Xenopus tropicalis: one gene and its partner. The protein of the gene in region 2 binds, or shares a complex with, the protein of the main gene of each other region. Links are inferred from orthologs where the notes say so. Each region holds a gene or a part of one and is shown on either strand. Other genes may lie near its edges. The genes, in order: pnoc and oprl1.

Region 1 (7,876 bases), on a different chromosome or scaffold from region 2:
CATCTTCATGGTAAAAAGCCCCCCACCGCTGAAGTATAAAGCCGGCCATACATGTTCAGATTTGAGTCTTCTTCCAATGAACGTTCGGATATGGATCGTAAGTTTAAATGCAACAATCTAAACTCACACTCAGCCTGAAATTGTAGGATAAAGCCCTAAATATAACCAATGGTTCTGAACATGAAATAGTTACAGGCACCAATGGTACCAAAGTGACTCCCATTGTAGGGCCCCAAGGATATTGGCAGATACACAATACTGCACAGATTTTATAGTAATCCGAGCGGAATTTTCTAACCTGTCAGATCAACATGGTACGAAAATTATCGGGATGATCATTTGGAGCCCACACACGGTTTGAAAATCATACAAAACATGTGTGTATGGGCAGCTTTAGGCATAACTAGGGTTGCCAACTGTCCGGTTTTGACCCGGTTTCAAAACCGGGCAGGGCTCGCTGAGATTGATGCGGCGATTGGCTGCCATAGCTACACTGCCCCGCCTTTTCTCCACCCAGTGACATCAACGCCCGCCCCCTGCCAGGAGACTAAAGCAGGCAACCCCAGGCATAACTGGCCATCAAAATATGACTCTCCCTGCATGGAGAGAGAAGGAAGAGAGCCAGATTGCTGGAGGGGGGGTAGTAAACATTTTTATGATAGCTCCCCTTTAAGATCCCAGGGCCTGGGGGCAGTTTCAAACTTTGTAGCTCCTGTCACTGAACATTTGGTAAATGTGTGAGCCACATACAGTGGAGGAAATAATTATTTGACCCCTCACTGATTTTGTAAGTTTGTCCAATGACAAAGAAATGAAAAGTCTCAGAACAGTATCATTTCAATGGTAGGTTTATTTTAACAGTGGCAGATAGCACATCAAAAGGAAAATCGAAAAAATAACTTTAAATAAAAGATAGCAACTGATTTGCATTTCATTGAGTGAAATAAGTTTTTGAACCCCTACCAACCATTAAGAGTTCTGGCTCCCACAGAGTGGTTAGACACTTCTACTCAATTAGTCAACCTCATTAAGGACACCTGTCTTAACTAGTCACCTGTATAAAAGACACCTGTCCACAGAATCAATCAATCAAGCAGACTCCAAACTCTCCAACATGGGAAAGACCAAAGAGCTGTCCAAGGATGTCAGAGACAAAATTGTAGACCTGCACAAGGCTGGAATGGGCTACAAAACCATTAGCAAGAAGCTGAGAGAGAAGGTGACAACTGTTGGTGCGATTGTTCGAAAATGGAAGGAGCACAAAATGACCATCAATCGACCTCGCTCTGGGGCTACACACAAGATCTCACCTCGTGGGGTGTCAATGATTCTGAGAAAGGTGAAAAAGCATCCTAGAACTACACGGGAGGAGTTAGTTAATGACCTCAAATTAGCAGGGACCACAGTCACCAAGAAAACCATTGGAAACACATTACACCGCAATGGATTAAAATCCTGCAGGGCTCGCAAGGTCCCCCTGCTCAAGAAGGCACATGTGCAGGCCTGAAGTTTGCCAATGAACACCTGAATGATTCTGTGAGTGACTGGGAGAAGGTGCTGTGGTCTGATGAGACCAAAATAGAGCTCTTTGGCATTAACTCAACTCGCTGTGTTTGGAGGAAGAAAAATGCTGCCTATGACCCCCAAAACACTGTCCCCACCGTCAAGCATGGGGGTGGAAACATTTTGCTTTGGGGGTGTTTTTCTGCTAAGGGCACAGGACAACTTATTCGCATTAACGGGAAAATGGACGGAGCCATGTATCGTGAAATCCTGAACGACAACCTCCTTCCCTCTGCCAGGAAACTGAAAATGGGTCGTGGATGGGTGTTCCAGCACGACAATGACCCAAAACATACAGCAAAGGCAACAAAGGAGTGGCTCAAGAAGAAGCACATTAAGGTCATGGAGTGGCCTAGTCAGTCTCCGGACCTTAATCCAATAGAAAACCTATGGAGGGAGCTCAAGCTCAGAGTTGCACAGAGACAGAAACCTTAGGGATTTAGAGATGATCTGCAAAGAGGAGTGGGACCAACATTCCTCCTAAAATGTGCGCAAACTTGCTCATCAATTACAAGAAACGTTTGGCCTCTGTGCTTGCAAACAAGGGTTTTTCCACTAAGTATTAAGTCTTTTTTTGTTAGAGGGTTCAAAAACTTATTTCACTCAATGAAATGCAAATCAGTTGCTATCTTTTATTTAAAGTTATTTTTTCGATTTTCCTTTTGATGTGCTATCTGCCACTGTTAAAATAAACCTACCATTGAAATGATACTGTTCTGAGACTTTTCATTTCTTTGTCATTGGATAAACTTAAAAAATCAGTGAGGGGTCAAATAATTATTTCCTCCACTGTATTATATGTGGATATGTTACATGGTATAACTGAATCAGTAAAGGCAAAACCCACCGAAAAATGAGAAACATTTCATATTATTATTAATCATTATTCATTGTGCATTATTATCATTATCCATACTAATTAGAGGTCCCTCCCACTAACCCATCATTCTCTTTGTATGTGTCACATGGTCTAACTAAATGAGTCAAGCAAACCCTAGATAGGTGTGACAGCTCATATAAACTGCTCGCTCTGCTTGCAACAGGAATCAGTTAGTTGCCCTTCAATGGCAACCGGCAAATAAGATCAGACGCGGGGATATAAACTGGTAATCTCCCAGCAGCTCAATATCGGCCCATAAACAGCCTGATGAAGTGTACAGATCTGGCAAATGGTGCGTGATTATTGCTTCTGTTATACAAATATGGCCGCGGAATGATATTAATATGACAGTAGCTTAATTTGCCTTTATCCGCGAAAAGTACAGTATATTGTAATGTCTGCCTGGCCACTTACCAGCTCCTCATTATTTATATGCACAGCTTACTATTGATTGGGCACTATTGATACTTATCAATTAAATTAGCAAATGCTGAATTGCATATAGACAGGGCTATGGATTATGGAGGTGCTGCTGCTCCCCCCCCCAATTCCTATTAGTTCCCCCACCTCCCCTGTTTTCCAGCTCCAATATTCAATGTATTTCCCTTTCCTCCCCATTCTATTAAATAGAGCCCCCTTTGCTTTATGGCCTTTCTTGCTCCAGCTTATCAATGGGTACCTGTGCCTTTTGGTCCCTCCCCCTCAGTCTGCTTCTTCTCTTTTGTATTTCATGTTTCCTCTTATTCTGTTCTTTAAAAAAAAAATATATAAATTGCTAATTTTTGTTATTTCAAACATCACAGATATGCTGGAAAATAAGCGCACTATTACATGCCCCTTGCCTGTGGCGGGCATACGGAATGGGGTTAAATACTACATTTAATAATAAGGTGCTTATTAGCAAGGATGGTTTTTATATTCGGTTTGGTAAATCCGTGGCCAACCTTCACCCACTAAAACAGATATCACTTCTATAGGGGCCTCCAAGTAAAGACCCAACCTGCAAGGATGGGTGTAGAGAATAGTGGGGGAGTATAGCGTACCCCCATTCTACCTGGGAATCCCCTAACCCTTACTGCCTGTAGGTGGAGCAGCTGAGCCACCACCGTTGATTCCATGCATTAAGTACACTGTATTGGCAAACAGGTTGTATTTGGCGGCCCCAGCAATAATACAAATATTATTACTATTATTATTAACATTTATTTATAAAGCGCCAACATATTCCGCAGCGCTGTACAATTATATATGTGTGTTTCCCTGCAGCTCTGTGTGAAGCCATGATGAAGGCGCTTCAGTGGAATATAGTCTTGCTGTGCTTGCTGGGACACGTGCTGTGCGACTGCCAGAAGGACTGCATGACGTGCAACAAGCACCTCTACCAACAAGACAACTTCAACACTCTGGTAAGTCATTGGTGAAACCCTAACGCTTGGGCGTATTGCCATATCATCTTATAGAATAGGCAGGCTGTATGAGAGCCACGCATTTCGTTTGGGCAAAATACAGGCGATCCCCACCAATATAAGGGAATGAGTCTGCTCTGCTCCAAAAATACTTATACCCCTATTTGCCAGAGATGGTACAGGAACCAATCAGCAGCTAGGCTGACCTAATAGGGAACTGAAACCTGTCTTTGCTTGTGTGACTACAGGGCTGTGATTGGACTGTTAGGACACAGCCACCCCTCATTTGAAACACAGACAGGGACCTGAGAGGATCTATAGAAACCCCCAATAAAGGGGCCATTTTTACAGATAGGATTAATGTTTAGCACCATGTATTATTCATAACTGCCTACAAAGGTTAGGGTTTTTTTCATTCATATATGTCTCCTTTAATCATAATCTATCCAAAATGATTTCTTGTTTTATTCCAAAGTTCAGATGTTAATAAAGAGTTAATTATAATTACATATAATAACAAAGGTACTCTATAATACTACTCTTGTCATGGTGGTTAGTACTGGTGCAATTGCTCTTTTGGATAAAGGAAAATTGGACATAGCTTCACATGGATCAGATAACAGTTACTGGTTGTGTGTCTTTTTCTAGGGTTGATCATAAATGGTAACTCTGCAGCTCCGGGGCCCTAGTACCAGTTCCAGCCTGGGAACTATCTGCACGGAGTTTGTTTGTCCTTGCCATGTCTGTGTGGCTTACCTTCTGTCCTCCTACACTACAAACCCATACTGCCTCCTGTGTATGTGTGAATGGGATAGGGACCTTAAATTGTAAGCTCCTCTGCGAAAGGGACTGATGGGAGTGTGATAGGGACCTTAGATTGTAAGCTCACTGGGGCAGGGACTGATGGGAATGGGATAGGGACCTTAAATTGTAAGCTCCTCTGCGAAAGGGACTGATGGGAGTGTGATAGGGACCTTAGATTGTAAGCTCACTGGGGCAGGGACTGATGGGAATGGGATAGGGACCTTAAATTGTAAGCTCCTCTGCGAAAGGGACTGATGGGAATGTGATAGGGACATTAGATTGTAAGCTCACTGGGGCAGGGACTGATGGGAATGGGATAGGGACCTTAGATTGTAAGCTCACTGGGGCAGGGACTGATGGGAATGGGATAGGGACCTTAAATTGTAATCTCACTGGGGCAGGGACTGATGGGAATGTGATAGGGACCTTAGATGGTAAGCTCACTTGGGCAGGGACTGATGGGAATGTGATAGGGACCTTAGATTGTAAGCTCACTGGGGCAGGGACTGATGGGAATGTGATAGGGGCCTTAGATTGTAAGCTCACTGGGGCAGGGACTGATGGGAATGTGATAGGGACCTTAGATTGTAAGCTCACTGGGGCAGGGACTGATGGGAATGGGATAGGGACCTTAGATTGTAAGCTCACTGGGGCAGGGACTGATGGGAATGGGATAGGGACCTTAGATTGTAAGCTCACTGGGGCAGGGACTGATGGGAATGTGATAGGGACCTTAGATTGTAAGCTCCACTGGGGCAGGAAGTGATGGGAATGGGATAGGGACCTTAGATTGTAAGCTCACTGGGGCAGGGACTGATGGGAATGGGATAGGGACCTTAGATTGTAAGCTCACTGGAGCAGGGACTGATGGGAATGTGATAGGGACCTTAGATTGTAAGCTCACTGGGGCAGGGACTGATGGGAATGTGATAGGGACCTCAGATTGTAAGCTCCACTGGGGCAGGGACTAATGGGAATGTGATAGGGACCTTAGATTGTAAGCTCACTGGGGCAGGGGCTGATGGGAAAGTGATAGGGACCTTAGATTGTAAGCTCACTGGGGCAGGGGATGATGGGAATGTGATAGGGACCTTAGATTGTAAGCTCACTGGGGCAGGGGCTGAGGGGAATGTGATAGGGACCTTAGATTGTAAGCTCACTGGGGCAGGGACTGATGGGAATTTGATAGGGACCTTAGATTGTAAGCTCCATTGGGGCAGGGGCTTATGGGAATGTGATAGGGACCTTAGATTGTAAGCTCACTGGGGCAGGGGCTGATGGGAATGGGATAAGGACCTTAGATTGTAAGCTCACTGGGGCAGGGACTGATGGGGACCTTAGATTGTAAGCTCACTGGGGCAGGGACTGATGGGAATGTGATAGGGACCTTAGATTGTAAGCTCCACTGGGGCAGGGGCTGACGGGAATGGGATAGGGACCTTAGATTGTAAGCTCACTGGGGCAGGGACTGATGGGAATGTGATAGGGACCTTAGATTGTAAGCTCACTGGGGCAGGGACTGATGGGAATGTGATAGGGACCTTAGATTGTAAGCTCCACTGGGGCAGGGACTGATGGGAATGGGATAGGGACCTTAGATTGTAAGCTCACTGGGGCAGGGACTGATGGGAATGTGATAGGGACCTTAGATTGTAGGCTCACTGGGGCAGGGGCTGACGGGAATGGGATAGGGACCTTAGATTGTAAGCTCCACTGGGGCACAGACTGATGTGAGTGATGTATAATCACTATAAAGTGCTGCAGAATAAGTTGGTGTTATATAAGCAAAATATAATAATTACAGAATATCTCAATGAGTTTTTGTTTTCCATTTAAATGTATTTTCGCCTTTGCTGATCAGCAGAATGGCTGCTATGGGCCATGTGTGCCTTTCAGCCTGACTGCAGAGAGGGCCAATTCTGCCAATAAAAGCACTGATCCAGTTTCATGTCCTCACTACTGCCTCCTATTCACTTCTATGGGAGTGTGTGACAACTCTCACTAAGCAGTTTTGGGGATTCCTATTTAAGTGAAATGGAGTCAGAAGAGAATACACAGAATATTCCTTCTCTATATATTTATACATAGCTCCGGGGTACACCATTTGCCTCTGCAGAGATCATTTTTAAAATTCAAATATACCAACAGAAACAATAGTGCCTATATATAGTATTAGTATATAGATGAATGTGTTTTAACAAAGTATTACTGGGGATCTATTATTTTGCTTTAAGCAAAAAATTCTCATTCTTAAAAATGGAGGTGGGGTCATGACGTGGCGATTGGCCAATCCCGTCAATTTCGGACAGCCCTTCTGAAAACTGGGCTGAGCAATATAAGGACGGGCAGCTCAGTAATGTATATATGTAGGGCTGAGGGATATCAGGACGGGCAGCTCAGTAATGTATATATGTAGGGCTGAGCAATATCAGGACGGGCAGCTCAGTAATGTATATATGTAGGGCTGAGCGATATCAGGACGGGCAGCTCAGTAATGTATATATGTAGGGCTGAGCGATATCAGGACGGGCAGCTCAGTAATGTATATATGTAGGGCTGAGCGATATCAGGACGGGCAGCTCAGTAATGTATATATGTAGGGCTGAACGATATCAGGACAGGCAGCTCAGTAATGTATATATGTAGGGCTGAGCGATATCAGGACAGGCAGCTCAGTAATGTATATATGTAGGGCTGAGTGATATCAGGACGGGCAGCTCAGTAATGTATATATGTAGGGCTGAGCAATATCAGGACGGGCAGCTCAGTAATGTATATATGTAGGGCTGAGCGATATCAGGACGGGCAGCTCAGTAATGTATATATGTAGGGCTGAACGATATCAGGACAGGCAGCTCAGTAATGTATATATGTAGGGCTGAGCGATATCAGGACAGGCAGCTCAGTAATGTATATATGTAGGGCTGAGTGATATCAGGACGGGCAGCTCAGTAATGTATATATGTAGGGCTGAGCAATATCAGGACGGGCAGCTCAGTAATGTATATATGTAGGGCTGAGCAATATCAGGACGGGCAGCTCAGTAATGTATATATGTAGGGCTGAGCAATATCAGGACGGGCAGCTCAGTAATGTATATATATAGGGCTGAGCAATATCAGGACGGGCAGCTCAGTAATGTATATATGTAGGGCTGAGCGATATCAGGACGGGCAGCTAAGTAATGTATATATGTAGGGCTGAGCGATATCAGGACGGGCAG
Region 2 (7,876 bases):
TACGATGCCGGGGTTCAATGCTGGGGACAATGCTGGGGTACGATGCCGGGGTTCAATGCAGGGGACAATGCTGGGGTACAATACCAGGGTAAAATGCCGGGGACAATACAGGGGACAATGCTGGGGTACAATGCAGGGGACAATGCTGGGGTACAATACCAGGGTAAAATGCCGGGGTTCAATGCAGGGGACAATGCTGGGGTACAATACCAGGGTAAAATGCCGAGGGGACAATACCAGGGGACAATGCTGGGGTACAATGCCGGGGGACAATGCTGGGTTACAAGTACAATGCCGGGGGACAATGCTGGGGTACAATGCCGGGGGACAATGCTGGGACAATACCAGGGGACAATGCTGGGGTACAATGCCGGGGGACAATGTGGGGGTACAATGCCGGGGACAATACGGGGACGATGCAGGGGTACAATACCAGGGTAAAATGCCGGGGACAATGCTGGGGTACAATGCTGGGGACAATACCAGGGGACAATGCTGGGGTACAATACCAGGGTACAATGCCGGGGGACAATGCTGGGGTACAATACCGGGGACAATACCAGGGGACAATGCTGGGGTACAATGCCGGGGACAATACCAGGGGACAATGCTGGGGTACAATGCCGGGGGACAATGCTGGGGTACGATGCCGGGGTTCAATGCTGGGGACAATGCTGGGGTACGATGCCGGGGTTCAATGCAGGGAACATGCTGGGACAATACCAGGGTAAAATGCCGGGGGACATACCAGGGACAATGCCGGGGTACAATGCAGGGGACAATGCTGGGGTACAATACCGGTAAAATGCCGGGGGTTCAATGCAGAGGACAATGCTGGGGTACAATACCAGGGTAAAATGCCGGGGGACAATACCAGGGGACAATGCTGGGGTACAATGCGGGGGACAATGCTGGGTTACAAGTACAATGCCGGGGGACAATGCTGGGGTACAATGCTGGGGACAATACCAGGGGACAATGCTGGGGTACAATGCCGGGGGACAATGCTGGGTACAATGCCGGGGGGCAATACCAGGGGACGATGCAGGGGTACAATACCAGGGTAAAATGCCGGGGACAATGCTGGGGTACAATGCTGGGGACAATACCAGGGGACAATGCTGGGGTACAATACCAGGGTACAATGCCGGGGGACAATGCTGGGGTACAATACCGGGGGACAATGCTGGGGTACAATGCTGGGGTACAATGCTGGGGTACAATACCAGGGTACAATGCCGGGGCGACAATGCTGGGGTACAATACCAGGGGACAATGCTGGGGTACAATACCAGGGTACAATGCCAGGGACAATGCTGGGGTACAATACCAGGGGACAATGCTGGGGTACAATAGCCGGGGACAATGCTGGGGTACAATACCAGGGGACAATGCTGGGGTACAATACCAGGGTACAATGCCGGGGGACATGCTGGGGTACAATACCAGGGGACAATGCTGGGTACAATGCTGGGGTACAATGCTGGGGTACAATACCAGGGTACAATGCCAGGGGACAATGCTGGGGTACAATACCAGGGTACAATGCCAGGGGACAATGCTGGGGTACAATGCAGGGGCAATGCTGGGGTACAATACCAGGGTAAAATGCCGGGGTACAATACCAGGGTAAAATGCCGGTGGGACAATACCAGGGGACAATGCTGGGGTACATTGCCGGGACAATGCTGGGGTACAAGTACAATGGGGGGGACAATGCTGGGGTACAATGCGGGGACAATGCTGGGGTACAATGCCGGGGGACAATGCTGGGGTACAATACCAGGGTAAAATGCCGGGGACAATGCTGGGGTACAATGCCGGGGGACAATGCTGGGGTACAATGCTGGGGACAATACCAGGGGACAATGCTGGGGTACAATGCCGGGGGACCAATGCTGGGGTACAATGCCGGGGACAATACCAGGGGACAATGCTGGGGTACAATACCAGGGTACAATGCGGGGGGGACAATGCTGGGGTACATGGCCGGGGACAATACCAGGGTACAATGCTGGGGTACAATACCAGGGTACAATGCCGGGGGACAATGCTGGGGTACAATGCCGGGGACAATACCAGGGGACAATGCTGGGGTACAATGCCGGGGACAATACCAGGGACAATGCTGGGGTACAATGCCGGGGACAATACCAGGGGACAATGCTGGGGTACAATGCCGGGGACAATACCAGGGGACAATGCTGGGGTACAATGCCGGGGCAATACCAGGGGACAATGCTGGGGTACAATGCCGGGGACAATACCAGGGGACAATGCAGGGGTACAATGCCGGGGACAATGCTGGGGTACAATGCGGGGACAATGCTGGGGTACAATGCCGGGGACAATACCAGGGTACAATGCTGGGGTGCCACAATAACTGCACAGGAAGGTATAGATGGGGCACCTTTGAAAGAGCTGAGTTTTTGCATAATGTGGATTTGGGGGTTTAGGGGGCTAAGAAGTCAATGGGGGTCCCAAGTCTGAGGGCCAATGACGTAGACATGTCATGTGATGTTCCTACACAGATATACAATATACACAGATATACAATATACACAGATATACAATATACACAGATATACAATATACACAGATACGATCAAACTTAGACCCTAAAAGAGCTGACTGGACTGACATCTATTGCACTTCCTTGTGACTGAGAGAGCTGACATTTGATTGGTTAGTCTCTCCAGAGATTTGATTGGTTAGTCTCTCCAGAGATTTGATTGGTTAGGCTCTCCAGGCCCATGATACAGCCTCTCTCTTGCTGACTGGTGCATAAGCTTTTCCTGCTGAATTGCGCTTAGTACAGGGGAATCCCTATAGGGGGCTGTTCCTGCTGAATTGCGCTAAGTTCCAGAGGAATCCCTATAAGGGGCTGTTCCTGCTGAATTGCGCTAAGTTCCAGAGGAATCCCTATAAGGGGCTGTTCCTGCTGAATTGCGCTAAGTTCCAGAGGAATCCCTATAAGGGGCTGTTCCTGCTGAATTGCGCTTAGTACAGGGGAATCCCTATAGGGGGCTGTTCCTGCTGAATCAGAATGAATACAGGGAAAAGCCATCTGGGTTGAAAATTGGGGGTAAATGTTTCTTTGCATTCCCAGAATTCCAGTAAACTGATTTCCAGTACATCACTTACTTTTAGTAGCTGCTACTTTTGGTTCCCAGTTGTATGTCGGCGCTGTACGTACTTTTTGGGGGTTCAATCATATTATGCAGAGCAGTTGTATGTCGGCGCTGTACGTACTTTTTGGGGGTTCAATCATATTATGCAGAGCCCCCAAAAAGTACGTACAGCGCCGACATACAACTGGGAACCAAAAGTAGCAGCTACTAAAAGTCTTGTGTGACCTAAGCCCATTGCAAGCGCTGGCCCATATTGTAATGCATTTTATTCCCCCATCTATTCTGCACTAAAACACTCAATGAAAGTTAAGTTACCCTTGGGAGCTACTCACCATCGTTCTCCATCTCGGCGGAGCCCATGACCATAACGGGGATCCCAATGAACGAGGCCAGGATCCAGATGCAGACGTTGACCACCTTGGCCTTGTGTGGGGTGCGGATATCCAGCGCCTTGACCGGGTGGCAGATGGCGATGTAACGGTCAACGCTCATCATGGTCAGGGTGAAGGTGCTGGTGAACATGTTGTAGTAGTCAATGGCTATGGCGATCTTGCAGAGAACGTTGCCAAATGGCCAGATGCCCATGAAGATATCGGTGCCTTGGAACGGCAGGGTGACCAAGACCAAGGCGTCTGCCAAAGCCAAGTTGAAAATGTAGATGTTGGTTGCAGTCTTCATCTTGGTGTATCTGGAAAGAACAAAGATTGGTGAGAAGAAGGCAAAAAGGCCATTGAGGGGGAGATACCTTGTGGGATTCCAACATGGACCTGACAGGAACAATATGTGTTGGGTGTCTGTGTACTGGAAATAGTGGGGTGCAGATATAGCGCCTTCAGCTTTATGGCAGGAGAAGAAGATGAAAGGACTCAGTATGGAGAAGAAGTAGCTCGGTGGAACATAGGAGGCAAGGGGAGAAGAAGTAGCTCGGTGGAACATAGGAGGCAAGGGGAGAAGAAGTAGCTCGGTGGAACGTAGGAGGCAAGGGGAGAAGAAGTAGCTCGGTGGAACGTAGGAGGCAAGGGGAGAAGAAGTAGCTCGGTGGAACGTAGGAGGCAAGGGGAGAAGAAGTAGCTCGGTGGAACATAGGAGGCAAGGGGAGAAGAAGTAGCTCGGTGAACCGTAGGAGGCAAGGGGAGAAGAAGTAGCTCGGTGGAACGTAGGAGGCAAGGGGAGAAGAAGTAGCTCAGTGGAACATAGGAGGCAAGGGGAGAAGAAGTAGCTCGGTGGAACGTAGGAGGCAAGGGGAGAAGAAGTAGCTCGGTGGAACGTAGGAGGCAAGAGGAGAAGAAGTAGCTCAGTGGAACATAGGAGGCAAGGGGAGAAGAAGTAGCTCGGTGGAACATAGGAGGCAAGGGGAGAAGAAGTAGCTCGGTGGAACATAGGAGGCAAGGGGAGAAGAAGTAGCTCGGTGGAACATAGGAGACATGGACCTCTACTTAGTGGGGGGGGAGGGGCTCAATAGGAGAAGACAAGGCTCATTAGGAGAAAGGGGGGCTCAGTGGGAGGAGAAAAAGAAAGTCTTTGGTACTGGAACTATAGGAGAAGGTGGGGCTCAAGGAGAAGAGTCTCTAAGGGAGAAAGTGCTATTCTGTGAGAGAGGGAGGGGCTTAGAAGAGAGGAGGTGTGGTCAGAGGATGATGGAGTGGGCTGAGTAGGGATGGGGGGGTCCCAGTGGGAGAATGAAGGGCTTATAAGGTATAAGGTGTTTGTGTTAACGATGTTAACGATTAATGGGATAAAGAGAGTAACTGCTTCTCCCCCATCCTGCTGAGTGACGGAGTAACGGCCTATCTACCCTGTACGTGTGCAGAATGTACAGCTGTCTCTCCCACACTGAGTACAGGGCACAAAGGGAAAGAGACAGTTACACCTCACTCTCGCAGATCTGCCCCGAAGGCCAAACTCTCTATTCAGGGAACTCACAGGGCATTTGTATTACTGAGTGTCAGTGAGACCCCCAGTGAGACCCCCAGTGAGACCCACGTGGGGAAATCTCTCTCCAAGGCATCGGCCTCAGTGTCAGTGAGACAGTCAGTGAGACCCACGTGGGGAGAGTGAAGGCTTCAGCCTCAGTGTCAGTGAGACAGTCAGTGAGACAGTCAGTGAGACCCACGTGGGGAGAGTGAAGGCTTCGGCCTCAGTGTCAGTGAGACAGTCAGTGAGACCCACATGGGGAGAGTGAAGGCTTCAGCCTCAGTGTCAGTGAGACAGTCAGTGAGACAGTCAGTGAGACAGTCAGTGAGACAGTCAGTGAGACACACGTGGGGAAATCTCTCTCCAAGGCTTCGGCCTCAGTGTCAGTGAGACAGTCAGTGAGACAGTCAGTGAGACAGTCAGTGCGACCCACGTGGGGAGAGTGAAGGCTTCAGCCTCAGTGTCAGTGAGACAGTCAGTGAGACAGTCAGTGAGACCCACGTGGGGAGAGTGAAGGCTTTAGCCTCAGTGTCAGTGAGACAGTCAGTGAGACAGTCAGTGAGACAGTCAGTGAGACCCACGTGGGGAGAGTGAAGGCTTCGGCCTCAGTGTCAGTGAGACAGTCAGTGAGACAGTCAGTGAGACAGTCAGTGAGACCCACGTGGGGAGAGTGAAGGCTTCGGCCTCAGTGTCAGTGAGACAGTCAGTGAGACAGTCAGTGAGACCCACGTGGGGAGAGTGAAGGCTTCGGCCTCAGTGTCAGTGAGACAGTCAGTGAGACAGTCAGTGAGACCCACGTGGGGAGAGTGAAGGCTTCGGCCTCAGTGTAAGTGAGACAGTCAGTGAGACAGTCAGTGAGACCCACGTGGGGAGAGTGAAGGCTTCGGCCTCAGTGTCAGTGAGACAGTCAGTGAGACAGTCAGTGAGACAGTCAGTGAGACCCACGTGGGGAGAGTGAAGGCTTCAGCCTCAGTGTCAGTGAGACAGTCAGTGAGACAGTCAGTGAGACAGTCAGTGAGACAGTCAGTGAGACCCACGTGGGGAGAGTGAAGGCTTCAGCCTCAGTGTCAGGAAATGATTCATTAGAGCCATTTATTTCCCATTAATCAGTATCAATAGATTCGTTCCTGGGGGCAGAGCCAGGGGCCCCGCTGGGAGCAGCACTCAGGGAAGTCTCGGGCCCCGGGGCCACTGTCAGTCTATTAGCAAAGTCTCTCCCCGAGCAAAGAGCCAGCGAGACCCAGAAACCCCAAGAGCTCGGTCTGATCTGTAAGTGACTGCTCAGAACCTACACACAAGGGGCAGAGACTACACACAAGGGGCAGAGACTACACACAAGGGGCAGAGACTACACACAAGGGGCAGAGACTACACACAAGGGGCAGAGACTACACACAAGGGACAGAGACCACACACAAGGGACAGAGACCACACACAAGAGACAGAGACCACACACAAGGGGCAGAGACTACACACAAGGGGCAGAGACTACACACAAGGGGCAGAGACTACACACAAGGGGCAGAGACTACACACAAGGGACAGAGACTACATACAGGGGACAGAGACTACACCCAAGGGACAGAGACCACACACAAGAGACAGAGACCACACACAAGAAACAGAGACCACACACAAGGGACAGAGACTACACACAAGGGACAGAGACCACACACAAGGGACAGAGACTACACACAAGGGGCAGAGACTACACACAAGGGCAGGACTACACACAAGGGCAGAGACTACACACAAGGACAGAGACTACATACAGGGGACAGAGACTACACCCAAGGGACAGAGACTACACACAAGGGGCAGAGACTACACACAAGGGGCAGAGACTACACACAAGGGACAGAGACTACACACAAGGGGCAGAGACTACACACAAGGGGCAGAGACTACACACAAGGGGCAGAGACTACACACAAGGGACAGAGACTACATACAGGGGACAGAGACTACACACAAGGGACAGAGACCACACACAGGGGACAGAGACTACACACAGGGGACAGAGACCACACACAAGGGGCAGAGACCACACACAAGGGACAGAGACCACACACAAGGGGCAGAGACCACACACAAGGGGCAGAGGCCACACACAAGGGACAGAGACTACACACAGGGGACAGAGACTACACAAAGGGGCAGAGACTACACACAAGGGACAGAGACTACACACAAGGGACAGAGACTACACACAGGGGACAGAGACTACACACAAGGGACAGAGACTACACACAGGGGACAGAGACTACACACAAGGGACAGAGACCACACACAAGGGACAGAGACCACACACAAGGGGCAGAGACCACACACAAGGGACAGAGACTACACACAGGGGACAGAGACTACACAAAGGGGCAGAGACTACACACAAGGGACAGAGACTACACACAAGGGACAGAGACTACACACAAGGGACAGAGACTACACACAAGGGACAGAGACTACACACAAGGGACAGAGAATACACACAGGGGACAGAGACTACACACAAGAGACAGAGACTACACAAAGGGGCAGAGACTACACACAAGGGACAGAGAATACACACAGGGGACAGAGACTACACACAAGGGACAGAGACCACACACAAGGGACAGAGACTACACACAAGGGGCAGAGACTACACACAAGGGGCAGAGACTACACACAAGGGGCAGAGACTACACACAAGGGGCAGAGACTACACACAAGGGACAGAGACTACATACAGGGGACAGAGACTACACCCAAGGGACAGAGACTACACACAAGGGACAGAGACTACACACAAAGGGCAGAGACTACACACAAGGGGCAGAGACTACACACAA

The links.
Region 1: the proteins of oprl1 (region 2) and pnoc are in contact, whole or in part, in a cryo-EM structure (PDB 8F7X), measured with the Homo sapiens proteins. The link is inferred for Xenopus tropicalis from reciprocal best matches to the Homo sapiens genes OPRL1 and PNOC. Residues at the interface, in NP_000904.1 of Homo sapiens: Gln107, Asp110, Gly114, Phe115, Trp116, Val126, Ile127, Asp130, Tyr131, Met134, Gln192, Glu194, Ile198, Glu199, Cys200, Leu201, Val202, Ile219, Val279, Gln280, Val283, Gln286, Gln291, Pro292, Ser293, Val298, Leu301, Arg302, Thr305, Tyr309; in NP_006219.1 of Homo sapiens: Phe130, Gly131, Gly132, Phe133, Thr134, Gly135, Ala136, Arg137, Lys138, Ser139, Ala140, Arg141, Lys142, Leu143.

What each region holds. Positions count from the first base shown.
Region 1 is NC_030681.2:152,382,553-152,390,428, forward strand, and holds part of pnoc (prepronociceptin precursor), read left to right. Parts: intron 1-3,709; 5' UTR 3,710-3,723; coding exon of another isoform or gene 3,724-3,726; coding exon 3,727-3,849; intron 3,850-7,876.
Region 2 is NC_030686.2:1,581,553-1,589,428, reverse strand, and holds part of oprl1 (nociceptin receptor), read right to left. Parts: intron 3,820-7,876; coding exon 3,464-3,819; intron 1-3,463.